Sus scrofa: one gene and its partners. The main gene of each other region encodes a partner of the protein of the gene in region 3 in a complex. Links are inferred from orthologs where the notes say so. Each region holds a gene or a part of one and is shown on either strand. Other genes may lie near its edges.

Region 1 (6,536 bases), on a different chromosome or scaffold from region 3:
AGTTTCTTAAATCATTTCAAAAAGTAGATGCTTCTAAGGATTTTACTTATATTATAAAAACTGTCTTTAATGGCTAACATTTCCTCATTTTTTTCCTGAAAACAAAAATAAACTTCAAAATAAAATGAAAATTTGCAAGTCCTTTCAGAAAACAAGGTTTAAAATAATACTAACTTCTCATGTCTAGAACTTCCTAGCCAGGTAAAATTAGCATCGCATCAACATTTATTTTAATAATGTCTATATTCAATCATATAGAGAGTATAGTATTACAATGACTTACTGATACTTCACGAAAAACTCTGCCACAGACACTACATTTTTAAAAAACAGATCTCCTTTCAATTCTCTTCCTTTATTTCCTCTTAACACAGGTTCTCTTTTAATTCATGTGTACTTCTAATTTGAAGTCTTGATAATGATTTGCACTATCCAATTGTCCTTAATACAGATTTCAAATGACATAAAGACAACAAAGACCAAATATATACACACAAACCTCTTGGTTAGATCCAAGTACCTACATTGCTAAGGTATTTTGCATATTCTTCAAAATGTGTCACAAAATTACCAACAAGATAAAAGGGAAATATAAGCAGCAGGACATAGAATTTTCACTAATTAATTTTTGAAAAGCCACCAGTAGGTCTTCAAAAATACATGAGATGAGATCAAACTCATAAGTCATTATGTATTACTTTACCATAATTTCTTAATTAACTTAGCCAAAACTTCTTCACATATAAAATATTCCATTATTGGCCATATGACAACATGAGAAATTCTGTTCAACACAATATGTCTAATAAAATTAAGTTGACTTTAACCATACTGTCATTTAAAGAAGGCAATTAAATTAGCCAGAAACACAAAATTTAAGAAGCAGCCTTGGGTATAACTTTTTTTCTTACAGCCATTACCAAATCCTCATTGAACTGATTAACTATGCAAGAAAAGCAGCACAAAGCTGAAAAGGACCCTAACATCACTACCTGGCTTATCCAAGAACTCCTAACAGTAAAAGGCTCTTACCATTTTATTTTATTAGATTCTCTAATATATAAATGCTGCTACTTTGCTGCACTTTTGATTAACATTATTAATAATTTCATCTTTCTTCAATCATCTAGAAATCTTCATTCTAGCTTAAATTTTATTTTGAAAAAACCACATTAATACAGAATGTGTCCCTTGGTTGCAGAACACCATTCCCACCGAATAAAATAATGAAGAAAAGAATTCTAGAAGGAAATAGGCTCCCAAATTCTATAATGCAAACAGCACTTAGTGAACATCAAGAGATGCTGCTATGCCTTCTATGTGTATTTAGTGGGCATGAGTCCATTGCCTGATGGGATCTGTAGTTTCTTTAAAAAAAAAAAAAAAAAAAAAAAGCAGTGTATGGATAGCAGTCATGTGCTTCCTTATTTGAAACTATGAACCTAGAATCTTAAATATGTTGCAAATATCATTCCACTGCATTTTGTAGAGTTGATCAATTTCAGCCCTGATATTCTAAAACACTGCATAATTATCAGCCATAATTAAAATGCATATGTATATGAATATGTGCATATATATTACAAAATCCTTTGGTAATATCTATAATCTACGTTTTAAAATGCTGTAAAATGAGAATTATGGTTCTCAGATGGAAAAGGACTGCCAAAAGTATTCATATGAAAATAATACTTCAAATATACATGTAAACTTTTCATTGCAATACACTAAAGCACTTTCTAGGCATTTCAATATGTAGTGTGTATTTTCATACCTTTACCTGGACAGAAATTTTGTGTTTTTCATTCATTATATCTTTATGTATTTGTACATCTAATATCGAGGATCATTCCCTATATTCAGGAATTCTAAAATTTCTTTGCGTATTTATCACTTTCAAGCATCAGTACTCAACATTTGCCAGCAACTTCCTAAATACCTCAATCACTATATCATACTCATTTCGCCCATCAAAAGAGTTCTTCAAAACCATCTCGATAATACCTTCTTAAACCCACTTAAGAAAGAGAAGAATTATTTCCTCTGAATAATTACATAACCTTAATGGGTCCACAACCACTTCATACGTAATCAACCTCCACCCCGTTTCCCTTGGTGGCACCTACCCTAGTGTTGTCATGGTGACGATGGTGTACCAGAAGGCAGCAGGGATGCTGGTGAACTTGCTGGCCGAAGACCCCTTCTCTGCGTAGAACATAACTGTAGCGAAGATGATGATAGCCATGGTGAGAGAGAAGAGCAAGAAGCCCAATTCCGAGGCACAGCTCTTCAGCGTGTACCCCAGGATGCGCAGGCCTTGAGAGTGGCGGGAAAACTTAAAGATCCGGAAGACCCGGAAGACTCGGAGTGTGACAAAGGCGCCACTGACATCCTCATTGTCCGTCATCACCAGCCCGATGTAATAAGGCAGGATGGCCACCACGTCGATGATACTCATGACGCTACGCACAAAACGGTAGCGACTGGGTGCTGCCGCCAGGCGAAGCAAGTACTCAACCGTGAAGATCATGACGCAGGCTGTATCCAGGCAGAAGAAGGCCACCGCATACCGTTCCCCACAGGGCAGTTCTTTAATGTGACCGGGACTAGACCCACACGGCACTGTTTCTACCACATTAGCGATGACGGACACAGCAATGAAGAACCCTGTGACATAGTAGAACACCAGGGCCATCGTGCTGGTGTGGGGGTTCTCAAACGCCCGCCAGACCCTCTGCCGAGCCGTCATAGTGGGCAGCGTGCTCTCTCCGGTGTTGTCGGTGTCAGCATCATCTTGAAGACGCTCCGCGTTCTCTCGCCTCCGATCCTTGTACTCCTCATAACAGCAGTCGCCAATAATTTCTGGGATGAGGCCAAAGAAGGCCAATTCTTCATCATAAGCTGAGATGCATTCATGGCGAGGATAGTGGAGCTTCCCAGTGCGGTAGAAATTCAGGATGTGGCGGAAGATGTCTGGGTCACGGTCAAAAAAATACTGCTGAGTCTCTGGATGGTAGAAAAAGTCCCTCTCAGAACTGCCCAGCAGAGTGTCTGGGTAACGTTCCAGAGTGTCCTGCCATGTCTGGAAACGGGTGCCACTCACATTCAGCACAATTAGGGCATCCTGAGTCCTTTTCCTCTCCTGCCTTGGGGGAGCTGGCATGGGCCCCGAGGCCACAGGCATCCACCCAATGGCCGCTGCCCTTGCAAAGGGCAGCCACGCTGCTACCCCCGCCGCCATGGTTCCTTCAAGTGGAGGCCAGAAGGGCACGCAAGCCTCTACAGTGGGTCACTCAAAGTAGCCACAATCACCCACTTCCTCCCCTCAAACAAATTACTAGTGAGAAATGTGGTCCAGAGAGATCACCCCTATTCCAAGATAGGGCTCCCTGGTGAAGTCACAGTTTGCAGAAGGGCAAGCTTCCCTCAAAGACAGGTATTTGGAGTAACAGGGGAAAAAATACAATGTCCTCAGAATCACCCCGACGGAACCTTATCAAAGCTTTTCCAGCAGTTGGACCAGGCCACCCCTGGCACAAATAAGTACAAATAAGATGACTTTAGATACCGCAATTTCTTCAAACAGGTGTCTTTGATTTCTCCCCTGACAGTCTGGATAATGTGGGGTCAGTATGTGTCGTGTAACAGAGAAGAGACGAAGGACAGTCAGTGGTATTCTTTTGACGAATTAGAGAGCCCTTCCACCTTCCCTTTTAGCTGTTTCAAACCTTCCCTTTCCAAGTGGCCCTTCCCGCCAAAGGAGTCTCAAAGAGGCGACCTGTTGTTGTAGCTTCCGAGATGCGGTCACAGCCGCTGCCCCATGTCTCTTTGGGAGCCGGTCGCCGTCTCTACTCCTCGGGCCGTATTTGCAGAGGTGCTGATGCTGTGCTGTGGGCACGGCTGGGGGGCGTTAATAAATCCTCCTTCCCTCCATCTACAAGCACCCCCTGTGTCAGCCAAAAACGTTCGCCCAACCTCCCCTTGACTCTCTTTTCAAGTTCAGCTCAGGTATAGTGCGGCAGTTACAGAGCCCGGGAGCTGGCAGCCGCCGCGGCAACGGCGGCAGCAGCCTCTGCTTCCGCGTAGAACGCGCCTCGCCCGCGGTACATACCTGGCAAAGTGCGCGCCGGGGCTGAGTTGCATAGAGACTTTCTCCTCGCCGTGCACCCGGAAAGGGAAAAGCCCAGAAAGCAGCTCGCGAGCAGCCGAATCCGATGCGCCGGGGGAGCATAAATAAAGCTCAAGCGAGCTCTTCTTCCCCTTCCCCCATCCTTCCGTGCCTCCCTCCTCCTTTTCACCTTCCAAAAGCCAGGCGCAGGCTAGCAGAGCAGCAGCAACAAGTTCAAAAGGTGCGGGGGAGGCGAGAACGGAGGGGACTAGCTCCTGCCAACTTACTGCGCCGCGGCTGTCGCCCGGGCCCGAGCGGCGCGGTGCGGGGTTGCGGGGCTGCGGGGCTGCGGGGCGGCCGGGCGGGCGGCGGCGCGGCGGGGCCGGAGCCGGGGCGGGCGCGGGCAGTCACCCGAGCGCGGAGGCAAGAGGCGCTCGGCAGCGCGGGGGCGCGGGAGGGCTGCTAGCTGCTTCCCCGCCAGTGGGTGGTCCTGCATCTCCCCGGGCTCCCCGCACCGCTCTGCTCGTGCGATCAACAAATAAGGAGAAAATAAATAAATAACCGCGCGCACGCCCCGCCACGCGGGTTATGAAAGGCGTCTCCTGCCTTTCCCTCAGCTTGACCTTTCTCCGCCCCCGCCCCCTCGGGCTCCTCTCGCTCCACCCCAGCCACCCACCAGCCCCGGCGCAAAATGTCACCGAGGGAGAGCATCCAGGTGGATCTGCCGGGAGGAGAAGGAGCTTCGTTGAACAAAGGGAAGCTTGACGCGCTCGGCTGCGGTGGTTTGGTGGAGGAGAGGAGGAAGGGGACCGGTGCCTTGCTTCTGCCTCCCTGGGTCCCGGTTCAAGGCGAGCGTGGGAAAAAAAAAAAAAAAAAAAAAAAAAATAGGAAGGGAAAAAAAAAAAAAAAAAAAAAAAAGCGAGAGAGGCTGGGAAGGAGGGTGAGCGGAGCGGAACGCGCAGGAATTGGTTGTCTTCTGGGGTCTACCGGGTAGCAAGACCTGCAAAGCCCCACGGCGGAATTTTTAAGTGCTTTTTCCTCTTTCTTTTTATTTGTTCAGACCAGATGTTAACGTTGCAGAAGTTAATATGTCCTCGGTCCAACTTGCGGAAAAGTCAGACAGTCTCCTTGGTCTAGGTTTTTCCACAACTCCTTTTCCCGTCCTTTGCAAATGACAGGAAGGATTTAGAACCCTTTTCTAAATGTCAGCGTCAAGGGCCGTGTGTCTCCGTAAGTGTGTGTCCCCTTCATTCTCCCTGCATATGTCTGCGCACATCTACAATGGTTAAAGTAGTTAAAGGTGTCCCTGTGAGGGGTAAGTGATGCGAGTGACTAGGAAATTGTCGCGGCCAACCGTTTTGTTTTTCGTGTATCCGGCCAACCGTTTTGTTTTTCGTGTACCCCGCCCCCCAATCATTAGGAATCTTCCTTAAAACCAAACGTGTAACATTTATAACCACTAGATGGCGAAAACGGCGAAAAGTTAAATCGACATCTCAGGTTTGGACGCTTTGGAAAGGTGAAGGATCAAAACTGACCCACCAGAGCATCAGATCACATAAATATCCTCAAATCCACTCCCCACTCCTTTTAGTATTTATAGGAGGTATATTAGTCAGGCCTAAGCCTGCATTTTGATGGATATGAAATGAGACGTGGAGAGTTTCTGTTGAAATGCCTTTTAAAATTAAATCTAGATCACTGAGTGGTGGTAGTAGCAGTACTGGTAATGATGACGGTAATAATAATAGTAATAATATAAATAAGTGTTTGAAAACAGTAGCGCTTCATATATGTTGATGAAGGAGAGAAGCCTAATTTCTATCTGAAAATTACCTTTTCAAGGCTTGGTTTTACTCTTCTTGGTTTGTAGAGTGGCTGTGTATAGTCGTAAATTGAATTGACTTTCAGGCCCTAAATATCTTAGGCATAATGTGTCCACCTTAAAAATTTGAAATAGAATACCTCAAAGAAAAGATGCGAACTAAAAAACGGCATATATAGAAAATCACCAGAGAAGGAGAAAAACAAACCTTATAATGCAGAAGATTTTCTGCGGAGATGGAAAGATATTTTTTGTTTGTTTACTTGTTTACTGATGAAGAGGCTTAGGGAATCCCAAGTTAGTAGTTAATGGAGTCAGAACTAAAGCTCCACGTAAGTTTGAGAACAGAGAACTGAAGACACCCACTGTTTATCTGTTTGTGTTAGTTGAGCTGAAAGATGCTTGTTAACGAATCTATATGGCCTGAATACCTGAAAACAACAGCAACAACATGTTAATTGGAAAATAAAAAAAGGGAATAACTTACCTATTAATATAAGAAAATTAACTCCTTCCTAACCCAGACATGACAGATATATTGGGGGAATGGAAAGCCATGAAAAATCAACTGATGCCGAAGTGGCATGCCATCCTGTAGACATG
Region 2 (6,109 bases), on a different chromosome or scaffold from region 3:
GCAGGAACTCCCCATGACTCTATTTTGACAATAAGCCTTTCGGAATCGAATTCCCAGGACCTGCAGGGTGGCTAAGATGGGCTGGCGCTGACAAAAATCCCTGGCTAGAGAAATACATGTGCTGCCCTCTTCATTCACTGCCTCCGGTTCCAAGAGGAATGGAGGGAGCAAAGGGACCCACAGATTGCATTCCCCTAACCGGGGGGTAGGACAAAAATGGACAGCCTTCTCTGCGTCCATAGCAATCTGTGTAAGTGCAGCCCTAGTTTTGTAGAGCAGCGCCCATCAGAACCGAGAAACTGAAAGGCAGAGGTCAGGCCTCGGGAACTAGGAAATGGGCTCTGGGGACTGAAGCCAGAGTGGAAAGCCTGGGGGAGCAGCCTCCTCTGTGCCACCGCAGGACAGGCTGGCCTCCCCACCAGGGTGACTTTGTCCCCCTCCTTGTGCTCTTCCTCCTGGGGGCTGAGAGGGACCTCATCGCTGCTCTTTGGATCTGAGGGGGGTGGACTTTGACTTCTGAAGCTTGGGCCCAGGCTGAGGATGGGGTACCGAGTTCCCACTCTGTCAGTTCTGACCTCAGACAAGGGTCAAGGGTCAGGGAGGAGACAGGAGGCGGCACTGGGCTGGGACTCACAGTGGTTTTTTCCAGGCAGTGCAGCAGGTGATGGTGCTGGCTCTCGATGAGCGAGGTGGCCTTGCCCACGTGCTCCTCTTCCGGGGTGCCCTGGGCAGAAAAGAAGAGACCCAGGTTATAAAGCGGGCAGCGCCCCTTCTCTCCACAAAAGGTGGGAGGGACCAGAAAAATCCAGATGAACCAAATTTTAGGGTCACCCTCGAACACGCTAACTTTGGGCCGGGGACCCTTGAGCTAAAGCTGATCTCGGGGTAGCTGGTCTCCTCCGGGAGAGGTAAGTGGAGGAGCTGGTGCCCCAGGGCAAGTCTGGGGCTTTGGGGTGGGGGTGCTGGTGGCCCCAGGAAGAGAAGGCAAGCCTGTCCACCCCCCCAGGTCCTCCAGGCACCCACCATCAGCTCCAGGGCCTCGTTGAGGAGTCCGTTCCGCTTGCTGTGCAGGTAGGCATTGGAGCTGCCTGTTTTGGCCACACGGATCCTGGCGAGGCGGGCCTTCTGTGATGGGCAGAGATCACGAAAGAGTGAGGGAGACCAAGAGACAAAAAGACAGTGAGCCTGGCAAAGCCAGCGACAGGGGGCTGTCCCGAAGAAGCCAGGTTCCCAGGGGATGTCGGATGAGGGGGAGGAAGCGGCTTCCTCAGCCACGGGATCTCTGTTTATAGACCTGGGGCTGGATGGAGAGGCTTCAACCCGGGGAATGGAGCGTAGTCCTGGGCAAAGTGCCTCGGGTTTGCACTCATCTCTCCAGCCTGGGTGTGATCCCGGCCAGGGAGACATCACGCATCCAAGTCCTCCCTCCGTCCCCAGATCTCACGACCCCATCGGCTCAGCAGTGCACGTGCCTTAAAGGAGCACATGGCAGAGCTCTCCTTGTCTCCCCGAGGGTCCAGTGCCAGCTCCCCGCACACAGCAGATGCCCAAAACTAGTTAATTTTGAGAAAAGCAAGGAGCGTGTATATGCGCCCCTCAGCCCCTTCCCCTCGTCCCCCTCTTCCCTTAGCATCCACTACTAAGGTAGCGTAAGTAGGTTTTATGTTTCTCTTGCTACCGTCTCTCTCCGCCCCCAGAATGTAAACTCCTGGAGGGAAGCAGTTTTGTTTTGTTCACAGATGCCTAACAATTTGTGAATCAATAAAGGAATTTACAGCGGCATGGCATGTCTGTCTTTGGGAGTGGCGCGGATGTGTCGATGTCTGTTTGTCTTGGGGCGATGGCTGTGGGAGTGCGTGTGTGTGGGAGGCGGGGGAGGATGGGGCACGTCCATACACCGTCCTGGCTCTGCTGGGACACCTGGACTTCTCCCCAGCTCCATCCCTGGGAGCCTTCAGCGGTGTCCTGCGGGAGGGCTGCGTGGTATTGCTCCTGCTGCCAGAGGCAGTGGGACACAGTGCACATGCCGGCTTCGCCTCTCCTTCCTAATAATTGCAATCAGTGTCACCATGACAGCAGCACAACCACCGAGGGAGGCCCAAGAGGCAAGAGGCTTTGGGAGGAAGGGAGAAGGGACAGATAGAGGGGTTCCTGCTGGTTTGAAAAAAAAAATGCGCCTTAACATCTGGGCTCTTGTTGATCTGGAGCCAGCTTCCCTTGCTCCTGGAAGCAGAGGTGCCCACGTGGACGCAGACTGCCCCGACACCCGCTCCTAGGCAGAGAGGTGCTTCCTCCTGCCTCTGGGAAAGTCTGCATCTAACCTCAGTGTGGACTCTCACAGAGGGGCCCTTGGAAAATGGTGGCAATTTCCATTTCTTGTCACCTTCTCCCCAGCCTGGGGAAGCGTCCCCTCCAAGGGTCCTGCTGGCTGGCTCATCTGCTAAAAGGAGGCCAGGGACTTGGATCCAGGCCGTCAACAGAAGCGCAGAGAACACACTCTGTTTACTGTTTCCGGAGAAGTCCCCCTGCGGTCAGCATGTCCTTGGAGGGACAAGTCAAGGACCTTCCCCGGTTTCTAAATATGGGGAAAAGATCAGCGCTGGAGCCTGGAAGAGGAGCCCACGACCTCCGGCTGGAGAATGAGCAGAGGAAGCGGGAGGGAAAGGAGGGCGAGTAAGCCCCGTCGCTCCTCTTCCCTCCGAGCCAAGAGGAGCCAAGAGCGTGCATTCAAGGTCCAGACAATTCTCCTCCCTGGGACTCCGGCTCCAGCCTTCCCCTCAGCCGGGTGTCTACATTCAAGCCAGTGCTTCAGCATTTGAGGATGGAGCCGTTATTGCTTTGGCTGAGTCCTGGGTGTTGAGAGCTGCATATGGAAATCCAATTGTGTCAAGCTCATTATCGCCGTATATAATTTGATCGCACCACTTAGAGGCAGACCTTTCTTGTATCTGGGGTCTGTCTTCATTACTTTCTAGAGATGAAAGATTCTCCTGCTTGCCTTTGTGGCACCTCTTTTAATCTTATCTTACCCTGGGCTCTATTAAAGCAATGGACTGTCATATCAAATGCCCTATATCGCTTAATCATTCCCCCCCACACAGGATAAAGAGGTTTGCCACGTATTTACAGAACCATACCCCGCATGTGTAATTTGGTGAGGACTTTTGGCTTGACTTTGAGCTCCCGAGGGCCAGAGCCCGTCACTTATGCATATTTTTATCTTCAGCCCCCAGCACAGAGCTTCCTACAGAGCATGCTCAGGTGAGGCTGGTGACGGCCCAGGAAGGAGGACGGTCCTACACAGTTGGTGAGAAAGTCACATTAATAAAGCCACTGTGCTAATAAAGCCACGTTAGCACACTCCTTGTGTGGACGGATCAGCCTCCCTCTCTTCTGTGGCCAGGAGCACAGTGTGAGAGTTATAGGAACATGGAGATCATCTAGACTATTTTACTTGTTAATTTTTGTATTTTTATTTGTTTATTTATTTATTTATTTATTGGCTGCACCTGCAGCATATGGAAGTTCCCGAGCCAGGGGTCGAGCCACAGTCACTGTAGAAGCAACACTGAGTGGTTATGTTGTGAGCCACACGGGAAGTTCAGTTTTTAAATTAATTTTTCTTTCTTCTTTTCTTTTTTTTTTTTGCTTTTTTAGGGCCACACCCGCTGCACATGGAAGTTCCCAGGCTAGGGATCCAATCAGAGCTATGGCCACCAGCCTAGGCCACAGTCGCAGCAATGCAGGATCCGAGCCAAGTCTGGAACCTACACCGAAACTCACGGCAACGCTGGATCCTTAACCCACTGAGCGAGGCCAGGGATCAAACCTGCATCCTCATGGATACTAACTAGGTTCCTAACCTGCTGAGCCACAATAGGAACTCTCCAGGCTATGTTATTTATTTATTTACTTTTTGGTCTTTTTGCCTTTTCTAGGGCCGCTCACTCGGCATATGGAGGTTCCCAGGCTAGGGGTTTAATCAGAACTGTAGCGGCTGACCTACACCACAGCCACAGCGACGGGGGATCCAAGTCACATCTGCAACCTACAACACAGCTCACGGACACGCCGGATCCTTAACCCACTGTGCAAGGCCAGGGATCGAACCCGCGACCTCATGGTTCCTTGTCAGACTCGTTAACCACTGAACCACAACGGGAACTCCTAAGCTCAAGGATTCTGTTGTGCCTGAGAAGACTTTCCCGATGAACCTCTTCGCTGTCTGCTGGCAGGTTCCCTTGGGCTGTGAGTCCTGCCATCTCTGCCAGAGAGGGAAGTGGGAGAAATGGAAAAGCCGAAAGGGAACACGGACAACTGCACTCAGGCATGTGTCTCAGAGAAATGAAAACTTACATTCACACAAAAGCCCGTGCACGAATGTTAGCAGCTTTATTTATAATAACCAGATGTCCCTCAACAGGTGAACAGTTAAACTTAACTGTGATGCGTCCATACCACAGAATATTGTTCAGCAAGGACAGGGAGTGGACTGTTGATGCACAGCCTCCGATGAATCTCCAGGAATTACACAAAATGGAAAAGCCAGTCCCTAAAGCTTAGCTACTGTAAACGCCCATGGATATACCATTTAAAGAATGAAAGGGGAGTTCCTTGGTGGCTCAGTGGGTTAAGGATCAGGCATTGTCACTGCTGTGATGCGGGTTTGATCCCTGGCCCAGGAATGACTGAGTGCCATGGGTACAGCTCTCCCCCCCCAAAAAAAAAAGAACTAAAAAAGAAGACATGTTGGAGTTCCATTGTGGCTCAGTGGTAATGAACCTGACCAATATCCATGAGGATGTGGGCTTGGTCCCTGGCCTCACTCAGTGGGTTAAGGATCCAGCGTTGCCCTACGATGTGGTATAGGTCAAAGACATGGCTCGGATCCTGCGTTGCTGCGGCTGTGGTGTAGGCTAGCAACTGCGGCTCCAATTCGACTCCTAGCCTGGGAACTTCCATATTCTGCAGGTTCAGCCCTAAAAAGCAAAAGAAGAAAAAAGACAACATTTTGTAAAGGGAGGACAGATAACTGGTTGCCAGGGGTTAGGAATGGGGCGGTGGCAGAGTGCTGGGGGTTTGGTTATAAAAGATGAGAAGGATCCTTGAGGTGCCGGAACTGACTGTTGTGGTACCTTGACTGAGGTGGCGGATGCATGAACCTGCACAGGTGACAGAGCTGTATCAAGCTTCACACACACACACACACACACACACACACACACACACACGACAAGCAAAAGTCTGAATAGTATTGGTGAACTGCAGCAACATCTATGCTCTGGATGTGGTCATTTTATAACTACACATGGATCTACAATTATTTCAATAAAAATTTTCCTTTAGAGGGAGTTCCCATTTGTGGCCCAGTGGAAATGAATCCGATTAGTATCCATGAGGATGTGGGTTCAATCCCTGGCCTTGCTCAGTGGGTTAAGGATCCAGCATTGCTGTGAGCTGGGGTGTGGGTCACAGACGTGGCTTGGATCCTGTGTTGCTGTGGTTGTGGCCTAGGCCAGCATCTGTAGCTCTGATTGAATCCCTAGCCTGGAAACTTCCATATGCTTCAGGTGTGGCCCTAAAACAAAACAAAACAATAAAAACATTTTGTTCCATTAGAAAATCCCCAGTCAGATGCTCCTCTCTCTCTGTCCCCTGCCAGACCTTCTAACTTGACCTCCAGTTCACCGGCTCAGAGAACTTGGTCTCTGTAGTAAATGGTCGTGAAGCCACTTCAGTGATAATCCCGAGCAAATCGGTGGCAAGGGACAAGGATGACAATGTTCGAGCCTTTCTTTCCCCCTGAGGCGCGGGGCTGGAGCTCACCTCTATGCTCCCCAGGATGCGGCCTGGGCTGAGGCCGGTCATCAGCACTTCTGACCCCTTCCTGTCCCTTCTCTCCACTCCCCAAAGGCCCTGGACCTGCCTTCCTTGCCTCACCGCAGGGACAGGCCCAGTGGCAGGGCAGGTGGTGCTCTTGTGTTCTTTTCCCGGCACGGGAAGTGCAAGGTGAAAGAGACAGAGCTGAGCAACCCTGAGGACAGACCGTACGCAGGCCAGGGGAAAGCACTGTCAATACTTCCTCTGATTTCGAGGGACAGAAAGAGGC
Region 3 (6,109 bases):
CGTGAGCTGTGGTGTAGGTTGCAGATGCAGCTCGGATCCCGTGTTGCTGTGGCTCTGGCGTAGGCTGGTGGCTACAGCTCCAATTGGACCCCTAGCCTGGGAACCTCCATATGCCGCTGGAGCGGCCCAAGAAATAGCAAAAAAAAAAAAAAAAAAAAAAGAGAGAGAGAGAGAAAGAAAGCAAGAAAGAAAGAAAGAAAGAATGGTTGAAAATCAATGATATAAACCTCCATCTCAAAAATCTAGAAATAAAACCTAGCAAATTTAATTAAAATAAAAAAGCAGGGAGTTCCCGTCGTGGCACAGTGGTTAACGAATCCGACTAGGAACCATGAGGTTGCGGGTTCAGTCCCTGCCCCTGCTCAGTGAGTTAACGATCCGGCGTTGCCGTGAGCTGTAGGTTGCAGACGCGGCTCAGATCCCGAGTTGCTGTGCCTCTGGCTAGGCCGGTGGCTACAGCTCCGATTTGACCCCTAGCCTGGGAACCTCCATATGCTGCGGAGGCGGCCCAAGACATAGGCAAAAAGACAAAAAAAAAAAATAAAAAAATAAAAAAATAAAAAAGCAGAAGGAAGGAAATAATTTAGAACACACATAAATGAAATAGAAAGCAGATCTAAAGTAGAGAAAATCAACGAAGATAAAGTTGAATCTGGGTATTTGAAATGTTTTAAAAGTTTCTAGAACAGGGAGGTATAACTATCTCACAATTAAAGTATATGGGTTTGAAAATCAGCCTGCCTAGATTGTAATTTATTTATTTATAGGGTGGGTTGTGAAAAAGAAATAAGTTAATTAATGAATAGCTCTAGAAGTTGCTAATGTGAGAAAGTAAATTGATTAAAAACTGTTAATCAAAGTCAAAAAAGCTGGAGTTCCCATTTGTGGTTCAGTGGTTAATGAACCTGACTAGTATTCATGAGGATGCAGGTTCCATCCCTGGCCTCGCTCAGTGGGTTAAGGATCCAGTGTTGCCGTGAGCTGTGGTGTAGGTCACAGACATGGCTCAGATCTCTCATTGCCATGTCTGAGGCGTAGGCCCTCGGCTAGCTTGGATTCAACCCCTAGCCTGGGAATCTCCCTCGGGTGAGGCCCTAAAAAGACAAAAGACACACACTCCAAAAAAAAAAAAACAAAAACAAAAACAAAAAAGCATAATACAATAAGGCATGGTATTTAAAATTAGAACAATGAAGTTCAAGTTTCAACTCTATCACTTAGTGTGCCTTAGCTACATCTCTTAACCTTGCATCACCTCAGTTTTCTCTTCTTTAAAATGGGTGCAATGAATACTGATGGGCAGCCAGTTCATAATGATTAAACAGTAGAAATGTTTCTAACCCTAATAGTAAATAGCTGCTTACCTGAGCCACTCCTCCAGCATCTTTGCCTCTGGCTACCTAGTAACTCATCCAGGACTACCCAAAGATCCGTCGACTCCCAGGTTAATGCCAAGTTTAGCAGAGGTTCTCTAGGGTACTGCTTTGGGGCATTGGGCAAACTCAGTTAAGAATGATCAATTCTCAGTCTATTCTAGTTATTAAATATTTTGATTACATATTGCCTCTGCCTCTCAGGGTTGTTGTGAAGTTTACATAATGTACCTAAAACTTGGTAGATGCTCACTGCATGTTAATAACTTCCTCCTTGCTTTCCTGCATTTGCAGTTCTTATCGGGTGGAGCATAGAGTAACAGTGTACCTTTCAGAAACAAGGTATTGGTATAAATGCATTTTATTTTTTAAATTAGAGGAAAGCAATTATTTCCATTTCAGTCTCTGGCTGACTCTGGGGCCAGTTTATTCTTTAGCAGCATCAGCATCACTCTGGACCTACTGAATTAGAGTCTGCATTTTAACAAGAGCTTTAAGGAGGTTGGTTTGTACATTAAAGTTTCAGAAGCATTGGTCAGGGCACTTGTGTTAAAATGAAGATTTCTAGGGGGGTTCCCATTGTGGCTCAGCAGGTTATGAACCCGACTAGTATCCATGAGGATACAGATTCAATCCCTGGCCTCACTCAGCTCAGTGGGTTAAAGATCTGGCATTGCTGTGAGCTGTGGTGTAGGTCACAGATGCCCCTTGGATCTGGTGTTGCTGTGGCTGTGCTGTAGGCCAGTAGCTCAGCTCAGATTGTACCCCTAGCCTGGAAATTTTCATATGCCGCAGGTGTGGCCCTAAAAATAAAATAAAACAAAACAAAGATTTCTAGATTCCAACCCCAGACTGAGAGTCTCTGGAATGGAGGCCTGGAAATGTGCATTTCCAGTCATCTGAGGCAATTCTTATGCACATTATGGTTTAAGAATCAGAGCTTAGTTTTTTTTTTTTCCCCCAGTTACTCCCATGTAGTCTGGGAATTGGATCATCAAGCCCGAAGCAGATTGTAAAATGACAGTGTTGCCCACTTGGAGGTCTGTAGTTTCACAGCGACCCCCTCTGGGCTTTCACACCCCCGCCGTGTAACCCTGTCTTTGTGTGGCTCAGCCTGTGCTGAGACCTGCCACAGGCCAGCCTGAGCAGTGGAGATGGGTGGAATTTTGTGCTGTTACTGGTGTTGGTACTGGTAGTGGCAGCCAGTTAGTATTTCCGCTAATACTAACCTAGGGGATTACAGGTTTCTCATTTTCTCCTCCTGCAGGTCCCTAGCACAGATTTTCTTTCTCAGATTTAGAGGTTTTGTGCCCTGAACTCTCTCCTTACCTCCTGACAGGATTCAAGAAATTCATCTAAAGTCACAATGCCGTCTTTATTTTTGTCCATTTTCTGAAAGACACAACAAGAAGCATTTTAAAGAATCTGGTAATCTGCATTCCAAAATTTGCTTTTTGATAACCAGTGTTCCCCCAAGAATTAGGATGTTCTTTCACAGGCCAGACAGCTCCACCTAGGCCCTTGTTATAGCACTTTGACCCCTATGAGCTTCCATCAAATTAAAAAACTTGCTCTAGGAGTTCCCCAGTGGCTCAGCAGGTTAAGGATCTGTCATTGTCACTCCTGTGGTGTGGGTTTGATCCACCGCTCAGGAATTTCTGCATGCCATGGGCTCCCCACCCCCCTGCCAAAAAATCCCCACAACTTGCTCTGATGTTCATCTTCTCATCATCTGATTATTTTGCCAATACCCTAAAATGTCTTTCCTAGTCTCACTTCTAGATTGTCCACTTGGCAGAAGGAACACTGGACATGAGAGGTTCTACTTTTGTCTCTGTCACTTACTGTGAGATCTTAGTGAGTGAGCCTCTGCTTTTCCTATCTGCAAAGTGAGAGGATTAGACCAGAATGAGCTTTAACATTCTCTGATGGTCTCCTGCTAGGGTAATTTTTTTTCTAGCATAAAAAATCTCTTCTATTCATGGATTAACAGCCCCACCTACTTTTACCAGAGCAAGGCTAAACTCAGTCAATTAAAAGATCTCATAATCCAACCCACCCTAGTTTCTACCTGACTTCCTTTGACTCCCCAGACACAAATGCTTCACACCTACACAAATGTGCTTGGTGACATACACCTTCTCTGTTTACTCTGCTCTCCCAATGATTTTTATGGAACTTTAGAGTCCATACTCTACTATTTATACTTAACAATCTCCCTTGCTCTCTTCTGTACTGCCTACTTGCCTGTTCAATGAGATAATCTATTCCTGGAGAATAATACATCTTGTAGTTCTCTTCTGTTTCCTACTTCGTGTAGTACAGGCTTGGACATGAACCACAGCTCATGGTGGTGTGACTGACGGTTTGATGCTTGTGGGCTGACTGATCTAAATCGAGCTTAAAGCTCACGCACAAGGGGTGTGCTCTTACCTGGAAGAAGACGTCCACGTGCTGCCTTGGAGTGTCTTCTTTAAGCACAGGATATGTGTATTTCCCCATCATGTCATAGATGGCTTTGACAATGTCCATCATTTCCTGGAGGGGGACAAGGAGGCACACGGTGTGGGAACCAGGAAGTCAGGCTCTTCTAGGTGAGAGTTTAGGGCTCTTGACCCTCTTGGAAATGAAACTGATTAAAAGGAACTTCTTTAGCTGGTGGGAGGGAGTTAGAAAGCAAGCAGAAGGGGCTACGCGTTCTGGGAGCTTCCTCCCATAGAGAAGGCAGTGGAAAATTCTCTTTGTCATTCCTGCAAAGGAGAGTGTGGCCATCTCTAAGACAGTGCTGCAGGAGGGAGAGGAAAGAGAAGAATAAGAAGAGCAGGCGGGTGTAGAGGGGAGGAGGAAACTTAACAACTTGCTAGTTTTAATGAGGATTAAATATGTTCCCTCAAACTCTCTGTATCTTTTTATTTCACTTTAAAAACTATTTATTTTTTAAGACTTTACTTTTTAGAGAAACTACCTGTATCTTTATAAGAAATCTCTCAACTGAAGCTAGTTTATGCTGATAATTTCCTATCTTTATAACCCAAAGCTGCTTTCTACAAAGACATAATTACCATTCTTGGTGGATGGGACCAGGTAGATGTTACAAATCCTATTGCATTTTTCTTTCTAATCTTCCAATGCTTCTGAATATGGAATAAGTGGTTGGCACATGCTTATTAAAAGAATTCAGTTGTTCTTCTTATTGCTCTATAGATGTTTCCCCAAGACTGTGAGCTCTGAGGACACATGCTTGATTCTTCCTCGCCAAGTTCTCTGCACCTGGCACCTTGTCTGCCATGAACGGGAGCCCAGGTGAGTAGCCCTGTGGTGATCTAATCACACTGGCCAGAGATAGGGTTCCTTGTGCTTTCCCTGGCCCCTCCTTGGAATGGGGGAAAAGAATACAGAAAGACGGGCATGTCTACGGGGACCCATGGGACAGCTTCTATCTTGGGTTCCTTGCCCGCTACTCCTCATTTCATGTCCTTATTTAGCTATTTTTGTTTTTTTTAACCTATTATTACTAATTTTAGACTTGCACAAAACTTGAAAAACAGTACCGAGTACTCATGGATACCTTTGACCCAGCTTCCCCTAAATACTAACAACTTGCATAACCACAGCACAATGATGAAGGCTAGGAAATTAACAATGCACCACTGCTGTGAACCACAGCACTATTGACAATGCCACAAAACTATTAAGCTACAGAACTTACTCCAGTTCCGTCAGGTTCCCCCCCCACACCCTCCACCAATGCCTTGTTTATGTTCCAGGATCCCACTTCACGCTGCTGTGTCTCCTTACTCTCCTCTAATCTGTCGTGGTGTCTCATTCTGCCTTTGTCTTTGAAGACCATGACTCTTTTGATATGACTACTGGCCAGTTACTTTGTAGAATGTCTCTCAGTTTGGGTTAGTTCCCGGTTTACATATGATTAGATTGGAGTTATGCATTTTTGATAGGAAGACCACAGAAGTGACATTATAGCCTTCCTGGTGCATCATATCAGACAGGCACAGCGGGCTGCTGTGAGTTATTACTGGTGATGTTAACCTTCCTCACGTGATTAAGGTGGTGACTGTCACATTTCTCCACTGATCTTAGACTCTGTCCGCAGCCACTGCCTGTAAAAATCATTACTGTAATGTTTGCTTAATGGGGATTTTGTATGACCTTTATTCCTTCTATGTTTACTAACTGGAATTCTTCTTTAAGGAAGAGCTTTCACTCCCTTCTCCCATTTATTTATGTATTCATTAACCTGAATACGTATTTATCATTTATTTGAATATATAGTATATCATTTGAGTATATATTATTTATTATGGACTCATGGATATTTATTTTATAGCTTATCATCTAGAACTATAAATTCGCATTTTGTATTTTGTTCAAAGTGTTCCAGCTTTGGCCACTGGGGACTCCTTCAGGCTGACTTCTGTGGTCTTTTGACATGCCCCCCCTCTTTTTTAAAAAGATAAATAAATACCATTCTTTTCAACACTGCATGATGCTCCAGGCTCATCTTGTATTTTCTCTTCCCCATGCCTGGAATGAACCAAATTCAAGGAGACTGGTTCCTCTTACTGGAGAATGATATTTAGACATCAAGGTCTGGGCTCTAGGCCAGCTCATTGGTACGGGGTGTTATTGTTCTCAGGTCCTCTCAGTGGACAAAACTAGGACATATATATCTCTATCCATATGTTTATTTTAAAATATGTACTTTACAAGTCCTCAAC

What was found.
Region 1: the proteins of KCNIP1 (region 3) and KCND2 are in contact, whole or in part, in a cryo-EM structure (PDB 7E8E), measured with the Homo sapiens proteins. The link is inferred for Sus scrofa from reciprocal best matches to the Homo sapiens genes KCNIP1 and KCND2. Residues at the interface, in NP_001030009.1 of Homo sapiens: Thr60, Arg62, Glu63, Val66, Leu67, Arg69, Gly70, Phe71, Asn73, Glu74, Phe85, Ile88, Tyr89, Gln91, Phe92, Tyr101, Leu105, Phe109, Phe122, Leu126, Leu129, Leu130, Lys137, Thr141, Leu144, Tyr145, Val162, Ile165, His185, Phe189; in NP_036413.1 of Homo sapiens: Ala2, Val5, Ala7, Trp8, Pro10, Phe11, Ala12, Arg13, Ala14, Ala15, Ala16, Ile17, Gly18, Trp19, Met20, Pro21, Val22, Ala23, Ser24, Gly25, Met27, Ala29, Pro30, Gln33, Arg35, Lys36, Arg37, Thr38, Gln39, Asp40.
Region 2: the proteins of KCNIP1 (region 3) and KCND3 are in contact, whole or in part, in a crystal structure (PDB 2NZ0), measured with the Homo sapiens proteins. The link is inferred for Sus scrofa from reciprocal best matches to the Homo sapiens genes KCNIP1 and KCND3. Residues at the interface, in NP_001030009.1 of Homo sapiens: Leu67, Arg69, Gly70, Phe71, Glu74, Val80, Phe85, Ile88, Tyr89, Phe92, Phe93, Tyr101, Leu105, Phe109, Phe122, Ala125, Leu126, Leu129, Leu130, Leu138, Trp140, Thr141, Leu144, Tyr145, Ile161, Val162, Ile165, Tyr166, Met168, Met169; in NP_001365898.1 of Homo sapiens: Ala6, Ala7, Trp8, Leu9, Pro10, Phe11, Ala12, Arg13, Ala14, Ala15, Ala16, Ile17, Gly18, Trp19, Pro21, Val22, Pro26, Met27, Pro28, Leu29, Ala30, Pro31, Lys34, Lys36, Arg37, Asp39, Trp54.

What each region holds. Positions count from the first base shown.
Region 1 is NC_010460.4:26,619,794-26,626,329, forward strand, and holds the start of KCND2 (potassium voltage-gated channel subfamily D member 2), read right to left. Parts: upstream 4,418-6,536; 5' UTR 3,242-4,417; coding exon 2,127-3,241; intron 1-2,126. UniProt on the Homo sapiens protein: Voltage-gated potassium channel that mediates transmembrane potassium transport in excitable membranes, primarily in the brain. Mediates the major part of the dendritic A-type current I(SA) in brain neurons.
Region 2 is NC_010446.5:108,605,864-108,611,972, reverse strand, and holds part of KCND3 (potassium voltage-gated channel subfamily D member 3), read right to left. Parts: intron 1,126-6,109; coding exon 1,024-1,125; intron 725-1,023; coding exon 635-724; intron 1-634. UniProt on the Homo sapiens protein: Pore-forming (alpha) subunit of voltage-gated A-type potassium channels that mediates transmembrane potassium transport in excitable membranes, in brain and heart. In cardiomyocytes, may generate the transient outward potassium current I(To).
Region 3 is NC_010458.4:53,275,304-53,281,412, forward strand, and holds part of KCNIP1 (Kv channel-interacting protein 1), read right to left. Parts: intron 4,677-6,109; exon of another isoform or gene 4,578-4,676; intron 4,458-4,577; exon of another isoform or gene 3,918-4,457; intron 3,912-3,917; coding exon 3,807-3,911; intron 2,766-3,806; coding exon 2,703-2,765; intron 1-2,702. UniProt on the Homo sapiens protein: Regulatory subunit of Kv4/D (Shal)-type voltage-gated rapidly inactivating A-type potassium channels. Regulates channel density, inactivation kinetics and rate of recovery from inactivation in a calcium-dependent and isoform-specific manner.